Linked DNA regions of Pelodiscus sinensis. The protein of the gene in region 3 purifies or fractionates together with the protein of the main gene of each other region. This does not show direct contact. Links are inferred from orthologs where the notes say so. Each region holds a gene or a part of one and is shown on either strand. Other genes may lie near its edges. The genes, in order: MAP2K1, myosin light polypeptide 6 and ras GTPase-activating-like protein IQGAP1.

Region 1 (3,745 bases), on a different chromosome or scaffold from region 3:
TTTTATATGGGGATTAAATTAAGTTGTTCTTCATGTAACATTAACACTGTAGGCTGATATGCAGAGTAAGTATTTATGGTAGACATTTGCTAATTTAATTGCTACAGACCTCATAATTCCATTTCACAGAACTTCTGAAAAATTATAAACAAAAGGTTACATACTCATAGCAGATTAATTTACTAGATGTTGACAGTTCCTTTTGTAATCCCCTTTTAAATACAAAGCAGGCCTGTACGCAAGGGGATAGGAAAGCACCCCCTTGAGTCCCCCAAGTAAGTATGCTCAGGCTGGCCAGGAGAGTGCTGCCTGAGCCTCCCTTGCCCATGCTCTGGTCTGCTGGGAGAAGGGGGGCTGATTTCCCTGCTTACTTGGGGGACCAGAGGGGGGTGCATTCACACCCTTGCAGACCACATTTACAAGAAAGCACCCCCCACAGAAATTTCTGCCTATGATCCTGTAAAGCGCACAAATGATTAAACGACTGTCCTCTAGTTGTGGTGCAAGTAACCTAATGATGTTCTAGTGACACAGAGCCTAAGATTCACCCTTACATATTCTAACGGTTTGGAACATTTTAACCCCTCCCCTCCCAAACTGGCCAAGAAATGATTGGAAGGCAGGGGAGAAGAACAGCAGAGCTGTGAGTTTCCTGTTGCCTTTCTAGTTACAAACAGAGTAGGTCATGATGAGGAAAAGTCTAAAATGCTCTGCTTTTTGAAATATGCATCCCATTGCTCTTTCACAGAGTAGACCCCATCCCATGCACAGCTCTAGACTGTCCTCCAATGCTCATAGTCACAACCTCCCCATGAGTTCTACACTCCTAGCATCTGAAGAAGTGGGTTGTACCCACGAAAGCTGGTGATACCATCTACCTGTTTTGTTAATCTTTAAGGTGCTACTAGACTATTCGTTGTTTTTAACCTCCCCATTGTTTTGCTCCATTCTGGTGACTTCCGACGGGAATCCTGTCCTGCTCTCACCCCCCTCTGTGTCACCTGACGATCCCCTCCGTCTCTTTTCGAGCCGGGGCTGCGCGTTTTGCTCCTGGCTTGTGTCTGACGATCCCCTTTCGGGGCCCAGTTCTCAACCGGAGCGCGCGTGTGAACCGAACGCGGAGTGACTCCGGTGCGTGTACACGAGGAAGGGGGGGATGGGAGGTGGTGAGAAGGGAGGGAGAGAAGCCCCGAGCTCTCGTGGCGTGGCCGCAGGGAAGATGAGAATCCGAAGCAGGCCCGCGTTTGACTCAGAACCCAGCCCCGGCTCCCCAAGGAGCGAGTCCCCGGCTCGCCCCGGGCGCACACCTCCCCCGCGCACCCGAAGCGAAACTCCGGGCAGAGGAGCAGGCGGGTGCTTGCAAAAGGCGGCCCTCCCCAGTGCCCATGAGCAGCGGCTCCACACTTGCGCACTGGGGCGGGCCGAGGCTTTGCACATGCACAGTAGCGAGCAGGGACGCGGTTTGAGCTCGGGCAGGGTCCGCTCTCCCGGCGCCGCTCGGGGAACTTCGGACTGCTCAGGCGGGGAGCGGCTGCCGGCCCCGGGAGCCGCGCTGAGCGCCCGGAACGCGGCTGCCGGCCAGGGAGCGGCCGCCGGCTGACCGGCGCAGGAGCCCAGAAGCGCTAGCAGGGAAGATCGCCTAGTGCGGCGGGAACTGCCGGAGGAGCCCCGCACTCTGCCCGGCGGGAGGGAGCCCCCGGAGCTGGGCATTTTCGGGAACTGACGAGCCATTCTTCTTACTGCAAAATGCCTAAAAAGAAGCCGATGCCAATTCAGCTGAACCCGGCTCCAGATAGCTCCACCATCAATGGGACCAGCACTGCAGAGTGAGTACAGCCTCCCTGGGGCTTGGGTGTTACTCCTGCCTTGGAGGAGAGAGGGGTGGGGCAGATACAACCCAAGATTCGCTCCCCTGCTGTGTCTCTGGGGGACCGTGCTCCTAAATCTCTTAGTCTGGGGATAACGGGAAACATTTCTGCACATTCTCCAGGACTCCAGCAAAGCAAAGCGAGACGATGGTGCTTAACACGAGCGCCTCAATCTCTGTGTCTAAAAAATAAAAAACACAGGAGGTGTTACAGGGTACTGTCAACAGGATCTTTTTTTTAAAGGCCACTGTTACAAAAGGTTCTGTTAGAGCAGCCTTTCATTATCAAGGCTTAATTAAAAAAAATCAAAATAATCCAGGGTGGGTTTTTTTTGCCCCCTTGTTAATATTTGTGTCTTTTCAGAAAGGACAGTGAATTTGGCGACACAAAATTCTGTCAGATGCATAAAGTAAACAAGGTGAAAAATAATTTTATAACTTCAGTCACAGTTTTTAATTCTGGTAGATACAAACATTTTAGATGGAAATGTTATTTCCATATTAATGGTATCTTTTACACGTGCATGTACTATATGATAAGTACTTAGCAAATGTCAAGTACTTTTTTCCAATAGGAATATTTTATATATGTAAAAAAGAGTAATTTGCTCTGGAAATCAGAAAGTCATTCCTCCTTTTTATTCTATAACAGACTGCAGTCCATTTTAGAAAATCTTTTCTTTCAGTCACCTCAGCTGTCACATTTGATTACAAATAATACTCATGTGGAAACAAGATGCTACACTTTTTGGGTATAATGAAAACATTGCAAAAAAATCAAGAGGGAAGTACCGACTAGCTGATTTGATCCTTTTTTTTTAACAACAATAACAAAGATTGCAGTCCTTAAAATTATGGGTTACCTGTGAATTTATGGGTAACAAAACATGCTTGCTTGGGAAGTCTGTATTTAAATTATCTGTAGTGTAAAAGAATGAAGAATTACAAAAGAGTTTGAGTTTGCTAAAGGCAACAGGTTGGCACGCATCATTTCATTCTTAGCCTGAGGTTATGAGAGAGAGAAACAGAGGTGTTGAAATACCTACAATCCCTGGAATACAGGTTGCTATCCCAGAAAGGTCAGTGTGACCCTTCTGCTTTGTTAGGGAAATTAAATTAAGTTTGTGTGTGGGTTTTTCAGAGGACATCTGAAATGGAGGTTCCATCAGTTCTGTTAATCATGCGGGGCCGATGCCCCGCAATTGGTGACGGGTTTTCAAATGAGCTTGGTTGCCATTGTTACCTATTTAATACTCTAATTTTCAAACTTATGTAGGAGCTAGTAGCTCCCACTGTGATATTTATAACCAGATTTTCAGAAGCACTCAGTGTCCATTGTGCTGATCTTCATTACAAATCTAGCCAACCACCCTGGTGCCTTAATGGGAGCTGATTTCTTCTGAAAATCTGTCTTGGACAGCAGGTGCTGAACTCTTCTGAGAAGTTTGGCCTAAGTGTCACCTGGGTTCTGCCCTGGATTGTGTTGTAAAGATTAATAAGATACATATCTAAATTTTCCTGTACAGGGATCTTCATGGCTGTTACAAACATAATCTGATTTAACATTAAATATCTGTGAGTGTGGGATACGGTTATCCCCATTTTACAGAGAAGCTGAGACACAGGCCAAATTTATTTATTTTGACACCTAAAATTAAAAAGCAGGTATCCATTGCATCTCCCCAATGTTCTTTCTTTCAAGGTTACTCATTTTAGTCCCAGAATTCCATACAACATTGCAACAAGAGAAGTGAGTGGACTCCAAATTTGAATGCAAGCTATTTACACCAAAAACAAAGATATATGAACCTGAGGTTATACAGAAAATGTTATTTGTACAAAAAGCCTGAATCTTACAACATTTTTCAGTTTTCCTGC
Region 2 (3,745 bases), on a different chromosome or scaffold from region 3:
GTGAAAGGGCCTGTAAGTTTTGATCCAGATCAGATGAGGGCTGAGTCTGCTCCTGCCCCAGCTGGGGGGGCTGTGGGGATGGGGATGGGGCAGAGACCCTGGCTCAGGGTCATAGGGACACCAGGCCCGGTCTCGGCCAGCAGGGGGCGCTGGGCTGGGCATGCAGCTGAATACATATAAGGGCCTGATCGCCCCCTGGTCACACTCTTTATAGGGGCCCTACCTCACTGCCTCAGGAATTTTGCTGCATTCTGTCCCCTGCACAGAGGCCTGGCGGGTGGGGCTCCCCGGCCCCCGCCACCGCAACCCGACCCCCTTCACACAGAAGGTGGCGGCCTGGCAAAGCAGTGCCCGGCGCTGGGGCTGAAATAAATCTGCCTGGAAAAGGGGGTGCTAATCCCCCCACCCGCGGCCACCTGTTCCCGAGCCGGCTGCCTGGGAAGGCAGGCCCATTCCAGCCCTGTCATTAAAATAACAGGGGCCTGCTCACTGGCTAAATTTATCCTGGCCTGAGCTCAGGGCCCCCATCTGTGACTGTCTAACAGCCCCCCCCCCACCGCCGTCTCGCTGGCAAGGGGCTCTGGCCATTGTTGGAAAGAGCTGGAAACAAAGCCATGGTAGAGCTGGGAATAACACCAGCTCTCAGTGTCCTAGCTCCCAGCGTCCCCACCCCCACTCTAACCCCTAGACATCACTGCCCTTCCAAAGCCAGGGACAGCACCCAGGAATCCTGCCTCCCTAATCCCCCTCTCTAACCCCTAGACATCACTGCCCTTCCAAAGCCAGGGACAGCACCCAGGAATCCTGCCTCCCTAATCCCCCTCTCTAACCCCTAGACATCACTGCCCTTCCAAAGCCAGGGACAGCACCCAGGAATCCTGCCTCCCTAATCCCCCTGTCTAACCCCTAGACATCACTGCCCTTCCAAAGCCAGGGACAGACCCCAGGAATCCTGCCTCCCTAATCCCCCTGTCTAACCCCTAGACATCACTGCCCTTCCAAAGCCAGGGATAGCACCCAGGAATCCTGCCTCCCTAATCCCCCTGTCTAACCCCTAGACATCACTGCCCTTCCAAAGCCAGGGACAGACCCCAGGAGACCTGACTCGCTGATTTCCCCCACCACCACCACCATGTTCTAACCACTAGACCTCCCACCCTTCCTGGCCACTGTCTAGGAGCTGGTTGCTTAGATGAGTCTCCGTTAGATTAAGCTGCTCCACGGACCCCTCCCATCCCCTGCTTCAGTCCCAGCTCTGCTGTGAAGCGCTGGAAAGCGGGTGAGGATAGACCGGGGGGCTGGAAGCTAGCACTCTTGGATTCTGGTCCCAGCTCTGGGACAGCAGTGGGATCTAACGGGGGGGGGGGGGAGGAGGGCTATCCGGACTCCTGGGTTCATGTCCCAGCTCTACCACTGGTTTACATTGGGCAAATCGCAGCACCCACCTGTGCCTCAGTTTACCCATCTGAAAAGGGAAGAATAGTGGCCTTCACTGCAGGAGGGGGGGTGTTCACTCCTCTGTCCCTGATGAAACCTGGGGGAGCCCCCGGCCCTCCAGCAACCATCAGGGGAGCATGTGGGGGAGGGGTGCCATCCCACCCACTGCAAATGCAGGCGCTGGGGGGAGGGGCAGTATTCGGGGCCACGGGGAAGCAGGTGGAGAGGGGTGCTAGTCCCAGGGGTGTTTTCTTATCTGCCCAGCACTGGGCAAAGTGGGCAGCGCGGTGCAGGCTGGGGTATCCTCTCCCATTCACATGGCAGGCAGGGTGGGTTTCTATTTGGGGTGCTGCTACCACCTGAGGGGAACCCCCCCTCAGCTGCAGTCCTGCCCCCCCCCCCGGGTGACGACCCCACATACCACCACTTTGGAGAGGTCGATCGGCGGCTCTTTGGGTTTCTCCGGGGCCGGGGGTGGGGCCGGGGCCGGGGCCGGTTCTGGGGCTTTGGGCTTCGCTGCTGCAGCCGCTGGCTTTGCGATGGCTGGTTTGGCACCCGGCTTGGCTGGCGCAGCCACCGGCTTCTTCACCGGCAGCTCCTTCTTGGGGGGCATGGCGGCTGCGCCCGGCGGCTCGTGCAGGCGGAGGCGGCTGTGGGGCCGTGGCAAAGTCCCAGCCTGGGGCTGCCCTGCCTGGCCCAGCTTAAATAGCCCGGGGTGACGTCAGGCCGGAGGCGCGCTAGATAAGGGCAGTGCTGGGGGAGAGGGGGGGCTAAACGGAGAGCATCATTCATTGTCAGAAGTGGCAGCCCCCCCCCCCCGCCCCCGCCATCCAACTCCAGGGCTTTTCTTAGAGGTGAGCTCCCGGGAGCAGCCATGCCAAGCATGCACCAGAGAACCAGGCCGCCTGCCAGAGGAAATGCCCCCCCCCCCCGCCCAAGCAGGCTTGGAGGGGCATGAGCGTAGGGCTGGTGAAGGTGAGGGCCGGGCCAGAGACAGGGGGCAGCGGCTTAAGGACCCAGGAGTCCTGACTCCCAGCCTCTCCCCCGGCCCCCCTTGCATCTGGGCTCCTCCACAAGCCACCAGTGCAGGGCTGGGGAACCTCAGCGCCCCCCCCCCCCCGCACTGCTCCATCATGGGGCTGAAACACACAAAATCTACTAGGCTGAGCACCCCCCGCCCCAGGCTCGAACGTAGCACGTGTCTGTCACCTTCCCAGTGGGGGGCCACGTCACTTGTGGCCCCCCCACTGATTTTTCTGTGGGTCAGCAGCCCCCCTGCTCCTGCACTAGCACCTCGGCCTCCCCCCCTCAGGATTAGAACCCAGGCGTCCGGGCGCCACGCAGCAAGGCCTGGGCCGCGTCTCTAGCCCCTCCGAAGTCCAGGGACGGGCAGGGGTAGCAGCGATGGGCTGGGGACACCGCTCTGTCAAAGCTGGGCAGACAGCCTGGTCCGTGGCTGGGTGCTGTAGGCCACAGTCCTGGGGCACTGAACGTGGGGGTGTGTGTGTGTTAGGGGGGTACTGGCTGTGACTGGGGAGGGTGGCTTCAGCCGAGGATTTACCCCTTCTCATATGCTGCTGTGAGGTACGGCCGGCATCCGGCACTCTGCACGGGGTGCCCCGAGCTCTAAGCAGCTACTGGGGGCACACCCCAGAGGTGGCTGCAGCGCCGTGAGAGTCCCTCGGCCCCTGGGTGGGTTGATTAGCACCTGGAAATTACCCTGAGTGGAAACAAAAGGGCCTGTCCTGATCTGGCCCTGGGCCCAGCCCTGCAGGCTAAGCAGGGGTTGATGGAAAAGTCCAGCTGGCTGCTCCCCCGTCACGGTTTGATTAGGGCTTGGCTCACGGCCCGACGTGCCCCCCCTGCCCTGCAGTCCCATGAAGCGGGTTTCTCCGTAGATTATTATTAACGAGCCTGGCAGGGCGCCCGCGGTGCTGAGCAGGGACCGGGGCCCAGCGCCACCGGCTGAAACGTGACTCGGGCACCTGAATGCCACGAAGTTTCCAGCGCTTCCCCTTGTTGACAGGGTGCTGGGGGGGGGGGATCCCGGCCTGGCACTAGGTGGGGAGGATGCAATTCCCCCTTCATATCCGTGAAACTGGCTCCCCTGCCCTGACACATGAATCCTTAGGGGTGGGGGCAGGGCCTGACTGTCTCCCACGCCAGCTCATTCCCCCCTCCCCCAGCTCTGCACCCTGGGTGGGGCTGTGCCCACCCTGTGCCTCAGTTTCCCCAGTGAAACAGGGCCGCTTCCTCCCCTCCGGAGAGAGACGAGGACTCACAGCCCATGGAACCGAGGGCAAAACTG
Region 3 (3,745 bases):
TATAGGCACAGTCTGCAACACGGGCGCATCGGGCTGCCTCAGCAGGGTTCTGGGGTTTGCCACCAGGTCTCCTCGGGGCGGGCCGTGTTCTCCTCCCTCCTGGCGGTCGCTTGGATATAGGCACAGTCTGCAACACGGGCGCATCGGGCTGCCTCAGCAGGGTTCTGGGGTTTGCCACCAGGTCTCCTCCGGGCGGGCCGTGTTCTCCTCTCTCCTGGCGGTCGCTTGGATATAGGCACAGTCTGCAACACGGGCGCATCGGGCTGCCTCAGCAGGGTTCTGGGGTTTGCCACCAGGTCTCCTCCGGGCGGGCCGTGTTCTCCTCTCTCCTGGCGGTCGCTTGGATATAGGCACAGTCTGCAACACGGGCGCATCGGGCTGCCTCAGCAGGGTTCTGGGGTTTGCCACCAGGTCTCCTCCGGGCGGGCCGTGTTCTCCTCTCTCCTGGCGGTCGCTTGGATATAGGCACAGTCTGCAACACGGGCGCATCGGGCTGCCTCAGCAGGGTTCTGGGGTTTGCCACCAGGTCTCCTCGGGGCGGGCCGTGTTCTCCTCCCTCCTGGCGGTCGCTTGGATATAGGCACAGTCTGCAACACGGGCGCATCGGGCTGCCTCAGCAGGGTTCTGGGGTTTGCCACCAGGTCTCCTCCGGGCGGGCCGTGTTCTCCTCCCTCCTGGCGGTCGCTTGGATATAGGCACAGTCTGCAACACGGGCGCATCGGGCTGCCTCAGCAGGGTTCTGGGGTTTGCCACCAGGTCTCCTCCGGGCGGGCCGTGTTCTCCTCCCTCCTGGCGGTCGCTTGGATATAGGCACAGTCTGCAACACGGGCGCATCGGGCTGCCTCAGCAGGGTTCTGGGGTTTGCCACCAGGTCTCCTCCGGGCGGGCCGTGTTCTCCTCTCTCCTGGCGGTCGCTTGGATATAGGCACAGTCTGCAACACCGGCGCATCGGGCTGCCTCAGCAGGGTTCTGGGGTTTGCCACCAGGTCTCCTCCGGGCGGGCCGTGTTCTCCTCCCTCCTAGCGGTCGCTTGGATATAGGCACAGTCTGCAACACGGGCGCATCGGGCTGCCTCAGCAGGGTTCTGGGGTTTGCCACTCAGCTGGAACGGGGCAGGAATCAAGTTTTCGTCTGCAAGTCTGGTGTCCTAGAGTCTCGATTTTAAGGGTCACTGCAGGTTGGTTCCCGGTGGTTTCTGCTTCCACCACGGAGGAGCTGGCAGGAAGGTGGCACTTCCGGCCCTTGGCCGGCACGGGGGGGTTGCCACTGTGCTTCAGGGACCACAGCCAGCCGGTGCCGTGGGGCAGAGCTCTCCACTGCCTGTCACTGGCCCCCTGCTGACCTCCTGCAGGGCTGCTGCAATGGCTTCGCCTGGGAACGACGCCGAGGAGGCCCAGTGCCTCCATTGGTCCCGGGGCTCGCTCCTTGCTTTGCGGGGCCGGAGGCGTCTGCTCCGCCGAGGGACCCTTGCGGGGCGGAGAGAAGCAGAAGGTCTCTCCAGGCCCCAGCCGCCAAGCAGGCAACGCGGGAGGGGCGGTGAACACGGTGCCCGCCAGCCATGGTAGGCCCCACTGGAAAGGGCTAGTCTGGCGCAGTCTGAGCGCCCTAGGCGGCTGCAACGCCGGTGTATGAGCAGCAGTTACAGCATCGAGGTCTGTGTAGGCACGTCAGGGTCAGCTCTAGGCTCGTGTCCTGGAGGCTGACACCGGGGACCAGGCTCCTCCTGGAACCGCTGTGGCCGGTGATCCACGCCACGCACTGTGCGAGCAGGCGCGGTGCCCGTGTGCGCCCGTACGGACGGTTGCTCAGATGGGCCCGTGGACTTAGGAGATCCTGGTCAGGGTGAGTGGCGCGTGCCGTGGGACTCTGCCCAGCGGAGGGGGGTAGCGGGGCTCGCTTACCCCGATCTGACTCCTGGCGGCTGCGTGCCAGAGCGGGGTGCCCACTCCTCCCTTGACTGAGTCCATTGCCACTGGGACAGGGATTCAAGGGGGGCTGGCACCGGCAGCCAATGTGTCTTGTGCCACTAGCAGACCCTCTGGCGTGGCTAAGGGTCCCGCTCCTGTCCGGCTGCTCCACTCTACGAGCTGGACCTGTGAACCAGAGGGGGCCGAGAGCTGCCTGATGTGGGTCCACGTGGGGCTCGCCCACAGACTTAATCCTGTTGCTTAGGGGGCTGCAGCAAAGGGACCCGCACCATCCTCTTCGGGTGTAGGCAGACAGCTCCAAAGGAGCACAGTGGTCTGAGGCGTCGGTGCTTGGCGCCATGTCGGGTGAGTGCACCGGCGCCGGAGTCAGGGCTGGCTCCAGCAGGAGGGCACGGAGCCAAATGTTCCACTCCTGAAGCTGTTGCTGATGAGAGCTCTGCCCAGGCAGCACGAACAACTCCCGTGTAGGGCACTGACTGGCACAGGTATCTGCGGGGGTCACAAGATTTGAATGCCGAGACTGGGGCATGCCCCGACCCAGGCAAAGTCCCAAAGGGGGCCAGAACCCCCCCCCCCGTTGCCTAGCCGTGTCCTACAAGAGCAGGGATCCAGCTACACAAAACAAGGAAGAGTCAAAATGAAGGCGGCTACAGTGGGTAGTGGAGCAAAGCAGTCGCGTGCCCCATCACGGGCTCATCCCCAGTGAGGAGGGGGAGCACGCGGCAGCCCGGCTATCACACCACAGAGGTGCCACTCCATGGGCCGCCAGGGGACAGTCTGCACAGGGCAGCACGCACCCCACTGGGGAATGCACATGAGCAAGCGCTGGAGCCCTTGGAGGACAACTCCCATCTGGATGCATCATCTCCGGCTGGTTCTCCCCACGACTCACTGGAGGACAGCTTGGACCCTCTTTGAGAGGCAGGTGTTTTCACCTTCCGCAGCTCATTCTACCACTTGCTTTGACCACGCTAACGGGACACACCCTGCTGCAAACGTTTCTAGCTTCTTTTTTATCTCTGATTCTTTAGAGAGAACTCACGCAGCTGGCTCAAGAAATTGAGAGAGAAGAAACTGAAGGCAATACAGACGTTATCCATCTCCGGAGTCCATAGGAAGCTCTGTTCCATCTATGGCAATATCTCATTGAGTTAAAAAGTAAGTTTTTAGCCAAGATTTGGACACTTTGGACTGCAATCCTCTGGTTTTAGCTGCGAATGTCTTTTCTTCTTGGCTCCGCGTACAATGTTCTAACTGAAGTGGTTTTAAGATCGGTAGGTCCCTCTTCGCAACCCAAAGTGAATACTGAATTACTGGGGTTTTTAATTCCCTTGGCTTTTGAGACGCACCTCTCCCGTGTTTAGCTACAAACATGCCCTAGACCCTCCACACAGACCACCACAACGGCCGGGCTGTCGGAGGCCAAGGCTTGGGTCCTTGGGTGAGCTCTAGCAGACACAGGAAGGAGACCAGCGAGGTCTCCAGCAGGGGCTCTGTCAGAGCCGCCTGGTTTGTCCAACCCCCTCTTCCCTCGAAGTGATCCTGCCTCTTCTTATAGTCTTTGTTGCTAGGAGACCAAGGCTAATTCTAGTCACATCTGCACAGCAACAGCCATTTCCTCATCCCTTGCTGGTGGCAAGGGCCCCTTGCGGGAAACCAGATTATTTCTGCAAGCTCCCCTCCGCCAATATCGCCACACACGGGCGCTTTCTTCGCACCGTGAGCAGCCCCTTCTGCCCCCGGCTCGGCAAGGAAAAGCCAGTCCATGCACACCCCCGGCTCGGCAATGAAAAGCCAGTCCATGCACACCCCCGGCT

The links.
Region 1: the proteins of ras GTPase-activating-like protein IQGAP1 (region 3) and MAP2K1 purify together in Homo sapiens (affinity purification with western blotting; 3 studies listed by BioGRID, with this or other methods). This does not show direct contact. The link is inferred for Pelodiscus sinensis from reciprocal best matches to the Homo sapiens genes IQGAP1 and MAP2K1.
Region 2: the proteins of ras GTPase-activating-like protein IQGAP1 (region 3) and myosin light polypeptide 6 purify together in Homo sapiens (affinity purification with mass spectrometry; 3 studies listed by BioGRID and IntAct, with this or other methods). This does not show direct contact. The link is inferred for Pelodiscus sinensis from reciprocal best matches to the Homo sapiens genes IQGAP1 and MYL6B.

What each region holds. Positions count from the first base shown.
Region 1 is NC_134724.1:4,697,668-4,701,412, reverse strand, and holds the start of MAP2K1 (dual specificity mitogen-activated protein kinase kinase 1), read left to right. Parts: upstream 1-1,167; 5' UTR 1,168-1,746; coding exon 1,747-1,826; intron 1,827-3,745. UniProt on the Homo sapiens protein: Dual specificity protein kinase which acts as an essential component of the MAP kinase signal transduction pathway.
Region 2 is NC_134729.1:4,098,277-4,102,021, forward strand, and holds the start of myosin light polypeptide 6, read right to left. Parts: upstream 2,154-3,745; 5' UTR 2,051-2,153; coding exon 1,859-2,050; intron 1-1,858. UniProt on the Homo sapiens protein: Regulatory light chain of myosin. Does not bind calcium.
Region 3 is NW_027465934.1:153,102-156,846, reverse strand, and holds the start of ras GTPase-activating-like protein IQGAP1, read right to left. Parts: upstream 2,246-3,745; 5' UTR 2,241-2,245; intron 1-2,240. UniProt on the Homo sapiens protein: Plays a crucial role in regulating the dynamics and assembly of the actin cytoskeleton.